Macaca fascicularis: one gene and its partner. The protein of the gene in region 1 interacts with the protein of each later gene in a biochemical or structural test. Links are inferred from orthologs where the notes say so. Each region holds a gene or a part of one and is shown on either strand. Other genes may lie near its edges. The genes, in order: COPS7A and COPS4.

Evidence for each region.
Region 2: the proteins of COPS7A (region 1) and COPS4 form a complex in vitro, tested with the Homo sapiens proteins (2 studies listed by BioGRID). The link is inferred for Macaca fascicularis from reciprocal best matches to the Homo sapiens genes COPS7A and COPS4.

The regions. Positions count from the first base shown.
Region 1 is NC_088385.1:7,643,818-7,648,156, reverse strand, and holds the start of COPS7A (COP9 signalosome complex subunit 7a), read right to left. Parts: upstream 2,945-4,339; 5' UTR 2,838-2,944; exon of another isoform or gene 2,740-2,837; intron 2,375-2,739; 5' UTR 2,332-2,374; coding exon 2,170-2,331; intron 1-2,169.
Region 2 is NC_088379.1:50,803,409-50,807,825, forward strand, and holds the start of COPS4 (COP9 signalosome complex subunit 4), read right to left. Parts: upstream 2,981-4,417; 5' UTR 2,928-2,980; coding exon 2,854-2,927; intron 1-2,853. UniProt on the Homo sapiens protein: Component of the COP9 signalosome complex (CSN), a complex involved in various cellular and developmental processes.

The DNA of each region.
Region 1 (4,339 bases):
CTGCCACCCTTTTTTTTTTTAAATTATACTTTAACTTCTGGGATACATGAGCTTTTTTTTTTTTGTTTGTTTGTTTTTTTTGAGACAGAGTCTCACTCTGTCGCCCAGGCTGGAGTGCAGTGGCGCAATCTCGGCTCACTGCAACCTCTGCCTCCCGGGTTCAAGTGATTCTCCTGCCTCGGCCTCCCAAGTAGCTGGGATTACAGGCGCCTGCCACCACGCCCAGCTAATTTTTGTATTTTTAGTAGAGACAGGGTTTCACTACCTTGGCCAGACTGGTCTTGAACTCCTGACCTCATGATCCACCCACCTCAGCCTCCCAAAGTGCTGGGAACAGGCATGAGCCACCAAGCCCGGCCCTGTTTTTTGTGGGTTTTTTTTTTGGGACAGAGTCTTGCTCTGGAGTGCAGTGGCGCCATCTCAACTCACTGCAACCTCCGCCTCCCGGGTTCATGCCATCCTCCTGCCTTAGCCTCCCGAGTAGCTACAACTACAGGCGCCCGCCACCATGCTCAGCTAATTTTTTTTTTTTTTTTTTTTTGAGACGTAGTCTAGCTCTGTGGCCCAGGCTGGAGTGCAGTGCCCGGATCTCAGCTCACTGCAAGCTCCGCCTCCCGGGTTTTTTTACGCCATTCTCCTGCCTCAGCCTCCCGAGTAGCTGGGACTACAGGCGCCCGCCACCTCGCCCGGCTAGTTTTTTGTATTTTTAGTAGAGACGGGGTGTCACCGTGTTAGCTAGGATGGTCTCGATCTCCTGAACTCGTGATCCGCCCGTCTTGGCCTCCCAAAGTGCTGGGATTACAGGTTTGAGCCACCGCGCCCGGCCTTTTTTTTTTTTTTTTTTGAGACGGAGTCTCGCTCTGTCGCCCAGGCTGGAGTGCAGTGGCCGGATCTCAGCTCACTGCAAGCTCCGCCTCCCGGGTTTACGCCATTCTCCTGCCTCAGCCTCCCGAGTAGCTGGGACTACAGGCGCCGGCCACCTCGCCCGGCTAGTTTTTTGTATTTTTTAGTAGAGACGGGGTTTCACCGTGTTAGCCAGGATGGTCTCGATCTCCTGACCTCGTGACCCGCCCCTCTCGGCCTCCCAAAGTGCTGGGATTACAGGCTTGAGCCACTGCGCCCGGCCTCAGCTAATTTTTTGTATTTTTAGTAGAGATGGGGTTTCACCGTGTTAGACCGTCAGGATGGTCTCGATCTCCTGACCTTGTGATCCGCCTGCCTCAGCCTCCCAAAGTGCTGGGATTACAGGCGTGAGCCACTGCGCCCAGCCCTGTTTGTATTTTTAATAGAGACAGGGTTCTGCCATATTGGTTTCACCTCCTGACCTCAGGTGATCCACCTGCCTTGGCCTTCCAAAGTGCTGGGATTACAGGCGTGAGCCACTGCACCAGGCCAAGTGCTTCTTTTTCATCACCTTGATGGATACTCTTTAGTTCCACTGCAGATGAAAGCAGGGAAAAGTCAGCCAGTTTTCACCATATCACAGAGTGATCCAAAAGGTTAAACCACAGGCCCCACATAACTTAGCTCAGTTTACCCACATATCACTGTCAGCATGTCAGGACTCAGGCTGCCTCCTCTGTAAATTAACTCTGCCACTTTTGTGTGAATGGTTCTCTCTGCTGTGTTCCTAGTGTTTGCCATGTGTCTTTGGGAAAAAGACACATTCTCCCTTAGCTACCTTGAACAGATTAGCATATGCTGCACATAGGGAAGAATAGGGCATGCTAATTTAACATGTTCACTACCCACTTGTACCAGACTTTACACTTTCCCATAATCTCACTTTATTCCCACAACAGAGGGGGCAGTATTGTCTCCATTTTTAAAAAAGAGAGCTCAGGCCCTAAAACAAAAGTGACCTGATCAAGGTGACATGAGAATTAACAGCTATTACGCTGGTGGAGACGGGCTGGAAATCAGATTTCCTATTCTGAATAACATGCTCTTTTGCTTAAAATGAAAAACAGTGGACTTTACAGATCCTTTATCTCCAAAGGAAAGCTGGTTTGCTTGTTTACTGGTTACTTTTGCAAGTTGGCATTTAATCATCACTGTTTTCTTGTTCAACTGAATGGTATGGGATCACAAATTGAGCCCTGCCCACCCATTCTCAAATTCAAACCTTTGCCCATGCTTCTCTGTGGACTATTCAAGCCAGCAACCCACCTCTCTAACATTGGGCATGTCCAGCAGTTCTCCAAACACGTAGACACCAGGGGCCTCCAGCACCTGATGGATGAGTGTGGCCAGCGCTGCCCCCTTGGCCGACTTGGCTAGGAGCAGAAATTGCTCCTGGTTCTGCCCTGTCACCTTCACTTCCGCACTCATGACTGCACTGAGCTGGGGGCACCTGGGCTCAGGATGTCCAGAGCTGCAAGGAAAGAGAATGTGAAGCTAGAGATCCCCGATGGCTGGTAGGATGGGAAGCACAAGGCTGAAGGACTGGATTGTTATAGGTACTAAGTCGGTTCTGCGGTGAGGAATCACACATGGAGCGGTCTAGAATTCTGATCTACAAATCCTAAAGTCAGCCACTTCACAAGGCTGCCACACCCACCCCCTCCCCCGAGCCTAACCCCAAGCCCCATCATGTGCACCGCCACTGAACCCCAAGACAGGATGCAACGGAGAAAGGGGTGTCGCATGGTATCCACACTAACGACGACGCTCCCTCAGTTCTCCACTCCTGCCCCGCACGCGCCCACAACCACGTGACCTCACCCCAATGAAGCTTACACGTGGCTCCGCCCCCTCCCTTAAAGACACCGCCCAGCGACCGTGGGCTCCCGCCGACTGCTTCGTCGTACCCTGGGTCAGGCTCTGCGGGCCGCTACCTGGAAGCTTCGCCCTCCAGCGCACCGGGCGGGGCCGCCGCTCCGTCACCTCCGGCAGCTGTTCCAAGCCTTTCCTGCCACCTCCCTGAAGAGTCGCTCTGGCCACTAAACTCTATGGCGGGCTTCCGGCCGTACTTCCGCTCTAAGGACGCAAATTTCGGCAGGACATGCCCCGCCCCCGCGTTCCAACCGCTGAAGCTCCAGTGAGGGACGCAAGCATTCTACTCTCCGATTGGTCGCCGGGGGAAGAATGACGGGCGCCTTTTTAAATACTGTATTTCAATAAAACTTTATTAGTGGAAGATCGCTAGCCACTAAACACAGACGTCTTTGGCGGGTCCCCTGGTCTCGGCCGACTCTGTGTTTGTTCTAAGCCGCTGGAGAGCTGGAGATCAGGACTGCCCTGGGTGCCTGAGGCAAGAGAAAAGCTGTAATGGAATGAGTGAAGAAGCGGGAAAAAAACGGGATGGGGGAGTAAGGGGCAGAGAGGAAGTAAACAATAATCAATAATAGAAGTTTAGCAGCAGAGATCACCTAGGTCGTTCAACCACTCACTTTTTTGAAGAGCAGGAGAAAAGAAGTGAGAAGAGTAAAAGATAATAATTGCTAACATGTATTGAGTGCTTACTATTGGTCAGACATCTTTTAAAATTTTATTCCGTTGAATCCTCACAAATATTCCCAGTGTGACTTCAGGACACCCTCTACCATGATTACTATATATGTATTAATACTTGTAGAATGATGCTTTCAGTACATGGACTCTTAGTTTCTTGGGGCGGAAAAACCCCTATGTTACTCATTTTACAGAAAAGGAAATTGAGACTCATAAAAATCCAAGGATTTATCTGGAGCTTTTCAAACTCAAAACCATCTTTCTACTTCAACATACTTTAATAAAAACAAAAACAACTAACATTTATATAGTGTTTTATATTTCACAGCAGGCTTGCAGAAGGTCAAGTGAGGGTAAAGTTAATGACATCTTGGCCTTTGTGTTAAGCTACGAGCATTACTTAATTCATCTGATACAACAATCTAGTAATTGTTATCTCCACTTTCCAGATGGAAAAACTGAGACTCAGGAAAATTAAGAAACTTATAAGTAATGGAAAGACAAGAAAGTGAAAAAGAGAAAGATAAAGAGAAATAGAACTCGTAGTCTGTTAGGGCTAAAGGAACTGCAGATGCAGTTTATGGTCCACATATTTTGGTTTGTAATAGAAAATAAGCAGAAACACAGAAAGGAAAGGGAAAGGAGGAAGAGGAGAAGAAGAAATGAATGGAAAAGGTGAAACAAAAGTGAGAAGGAATCAAAGGCATAATAAAATATTAAAACTTTGAAGGAACCAAGGAATTAATGAGTCCAAACTTATTTTTTTTTTTGCATCCACCCCTCCCCGCCCAAGCTTATCTTTTCTTTTTTATTTTTTTTTTGAGCCAGGATTTCGCTCTTGCCACCCAGGCTGGAGTACAATGGCACAGTCTTGGCCCACTGAACC
Region 2 (4,417 bases), on another chromosome or scaffold:
AGTAAACTCTACGTGTTATCAACTTTCACTCTAGAGATGAAAACCACTAAAATGGTTGTGTTTGGGACAACAAATAGAGAATCAGAATCTGAGTTAGAAGGGGCCTTTGAGGTCTCTCCTCAATATAGTCTATCCTCCATTGTGGCTCTCCTATTCTAAATCTTTATGTGAGATAATAAACACAACACATAATATGCACAAAAACAGCCTACAAAATGGAGGAAAATGCTTTTCATCTGACTAATTTCTTACATAAACTTTAGACAGCTGTGTTAATCCACAGTTATGGGAAAGCATTTCTAATTGAGTTTTTAACAAGAAAACGAGCATAGTCTGGTAGGTTTAAAATGAGCTTTTTAGAGTGATGAACCTGGGTTCAAATACAAGCTCTGCCCCTTTCTAGCTATTCATTAATTCAACCACATGTATTGAGCAACTGTTGTTATAGATATCCCAATTGCTGGGAACACACAGTATTGATATTTTAGAAACAATGTACTCCATTATTCTTTAATATGGAATCCTTTGTTTCTCAGCTCCTAAAAAATCCCCAAAAACCTTCATTAAAAGTACATACAAGAAAAAATACATTAAAAAAAAAAACTGATATTTCAAGGGTATTTCTCTTAAAGCATGTAGCTGGTAGAACTGATGTTGTTATAAGGATAAATATCCTGATACTTTCTTGCTCAGATAGGAACTGCAAGCAAGCCCAAGACTTTTCTCAGAAAGCAGCTCTGAAGGAGTTGCTGGCTAACACAGCACTGGCTATCAGTTATCAAGCACATTATTTCATTTAATCTTCACAACACCATGTGGTAGATTGCTACAGTAATGGCTTCCAATGAATCATGTCTCCCTCTGTCCAGGCTCCTTTGCAATGTAACTTTGTCACTAAAGAGGCAGTAGTAGGCTCCATTTCCCCTCCCCTTGAATCTGGGCTGGTCTTCTGATTTACTTTTACCAGTACTAGAGAATTGATATGAGACTTTCTAGGCTATCCTTAAGAGGTCTTGTGACTTCCCCTCTCATAGCCACCTAAGAAAGCCCAAGCTAAACTAATGAATGAGAGACTATGTGCAGAGAGAGACAGATCCTGCCAAGAGCAAGATATGCATGTGAGTCCAGCCCCAGGTGAGTTGCCAGCTGACTATATCTGCATGAGTGAGCCCAGACAAGACCAGAAGAGCTGTCCAGTCAATCCATAGAATCCTGAGAAATCACAGTTGTTTTACACTGGTAAGTTTTTGGTTACAAAGCAACAGATAACTGAAGTACCCTATAAATACTATTGTTTATCTCCAATTCAGACCTGAAAAAGTAAATACTTAAGTTTCAGAACTCTCCAAATACATGAAAAGCTCTATTTCTTCTGATAACTAATGCACTTATTTTTCTTTTACAAAATAAAAAGTAAAGGAAGCATGGGGGAAAAATATAAGCTGCTTTTACTTTCATCCATATCTACAAAATTACAAGCAAAAAGGATTAAGCCATGAAGACATATTTGTTTCCAACCCATACAATAAGTGAATATATATTACTGACAGCTTAGTGATAGTAACAACAATCTTGCGGCACTTTCTATATGTCAGGTACTGTTCTAGGTGATATAAGTGTGGTAAGTATATATGCACACAGATACTCATCTTGTCTTCAGATAATCTCAGACAAGAATATGTCCTATTACCATCTTCATTTTCCTAAATGGGAAAATGCAGCACAAAGTAGTTACGCCCAAAATATACGGCTGAATTTCCCACTGATAAAAGTAGATTACATTTACCACCAGAGAAAAGGCAGCCTAGCCTACTTAAAACAGTCAGAATTTCGATGACCAGGTTAGAGCTGGTGTATCCCATTAACATACATAAAGTGATTTCAGCTGTCAGGATGTAAACATTAAGATCAACTTGAGAGGCATACTTTATTTACTTATTTATTTATGGAGACGGGGGTCTCACTATGTTGCCCAGGCTAGTCTAGAACTCCTGGCCTCAAGTGATCCTCCCACCTCAGCCTCTCTGCACCCGGCCTAGAGAGGCATACTTTAAGTTCATTACAAAAGATCAGTGCTGTGACATCTACAAAGAGAAAATGAACAATATACGTCTACCTACCTATGCTTAATACTGTTGAACAACTGCTTGCACAACAGGCACGTCACACATTTTAACTTGGAGTGAACCTAAGCATTCTATATGAATTTCGACAAAATTCAGATTGCTGCAAACATCACTACTCTAGACATCCTGATCCGCGATATGAGCACATTCCGCCTATGTGCCTTCAGAGTTGGTGGCGGAGAAAATACCCGAAACACAAGGACCCACAGAAGACAGTCTGAGTGGTCTGGACGACATGACAGCGGCCATACCTCCTCAGTCTCAGCCAGCCCCAAGAAGCCATCTCCCCGAAAAACACACCATCAAGGCCCCAGAATATACATTTCTCTGAATCAAAAAAAGGAGGAGGAAGGTCCAACGAGAGGCCAGATTCGGTGTGAGGCCGGCCAGCGATAGGAAGAGGTACCAGGGAAGGCTACTAAGGCCAGGGTAGCAGTCGTCTGTCAGACCGCTCTTCCAAAATCCTAAGGGACCAGAGGGATTCTATCAATAACTGAACAAGTTGACAGTCATCCCAAGTCTATGGCCTCGAAGGCCCCTGCACAAGGTCCCCTCCAGCTCTCTGCTTCTCCCAACATTTGCCTCCCTAGCCGACCTCAGGCCCGCCCCCTTGGTCGTCAGGCCGGTTCCTAGCTTCACGCCCAAGAGTCGTGGCCAACCTAAGGAGATTAAGGCTGTGGCTTTCTTTCCCCACCTCTGTACTCCCGCGTTGCTGGGAAATACTCACTTGCCAGCCAGATCTTTATGAGAGCCGCTCGAATTCATGAGCTGGGCCAAATCCTGTCGCACGGCTGCCGCCATCTTTCTCCCAGCTCAGCGGTGGATGCGGGGCCTCTGGCAGCCAAAAAGAAAACGAGTGTGGTCCTCCAGAGTGCAGCCAGAGGGAACCTGAGATGCTACAGAGTAGCGTCTGTGTGGGCCAGAGCGTCGGGTGTGGGAGCCTGGGCTAGCTCCGCCCTCAGGGTTGAGTGATGCGGGGCTCCACTCCTCAGGTCTGAGGCCTGCCCAGCCCTCTCCTACAGGCTCTGGCTCTCACGCTCGGACTTTGGATTGGCTGATGAACTCCAGGAGTGAGTCTCTAGTGTAACTCCAATAAGTACCCGGTACATAAAACGACTGCGTTTTCGCAAAGTTCCATGTCTCATGTCTGTGGTTTACCGTCCTTAGGTCTTTCAGGCAGCGCTTAAACTGCCTGTGGTAAAGAACGAGTTTTGTTTCTGATTCACCACAGACGATACTTTTTAGAAATACAATTAAAAAGTCCCCATTCCTCCTCCCACTCCATGCACTTTATAAAGGTTGATCAGATATTCCAGTTTGTCCAGTACAAAGCCATTTTCCCTCTGTCGTCCTGGAGTAGTGATTAATAACATCCCCCCTTGCGGCCGGGCGCGGTGGCTCACGCCTGTAATCCCAGCACTTTGGGAGGCCGAGGCGGGCGGATCACGAGGTCAGGAGATCGAGACCATCCTGGCTAAACACGGTGAAACCCCGTCTACTAAAAATACAAAAAAATTAGCTGGGCGTAGGTGGTGCACGCCTGTAGCCCCAGCTACTCGGGAGGCTGAGGCTGTAGAATGGCGTAAAACCCGGGAGGCGGAACTTGCAGTGACCCGAGATTGCGCCACTGCGCTCCTGCCTGGGCGATAGAGCAAGACTCCGTCTCTAAATAAATAAATTAATTAATTAATTAAAATAACATCCCCCCTTTCATTCTAGAAACGGTTGCATTTCAATGGAAGATTATATGGTCGCCTGCGTTTATATGATATTCAATACTCATGTATTCTTATGGAATTTCTGCAAATACAAGCAAATATTAATAAATATAAAATTTTACCTCTCCTTTCACAAAAAGTAACACCACATAATTGTTCTGCTTTGTTTTTTGTTGTTGTTGTTGTTTTGTTTTGTTTTGTTTTGTTTTGTTTTTTGCACTTTTCCTGGTACTGTGGTTTGAAATAATTGTCTTCTCCAAAACGCAAGTTGAGGGCTGGGTGCCGTGGCTCACGTCTGTAATCCCAGCACTTTGGGAGGCCGAGGCGGACGGATCATCTGAGGTTGGGAGTTCGAGACCAGCCTGAACAACATGGAGAAACCCCGTCTCAACTAAAAATACAAAAATTAGCCAGGCGTAGTGGCACATACCTGTAATTCCAGTTACTCAGGAGACTGAGGCAGGAGAATCACTTGAACCTGGGAGGCGAAGGTCGCGTTGAGCCAAGACTGCACCATTGCACTCCAGCCTGGGCAACAAGGGCGAAACTCCGTCTCAAAAAAAAAAAGGCAAG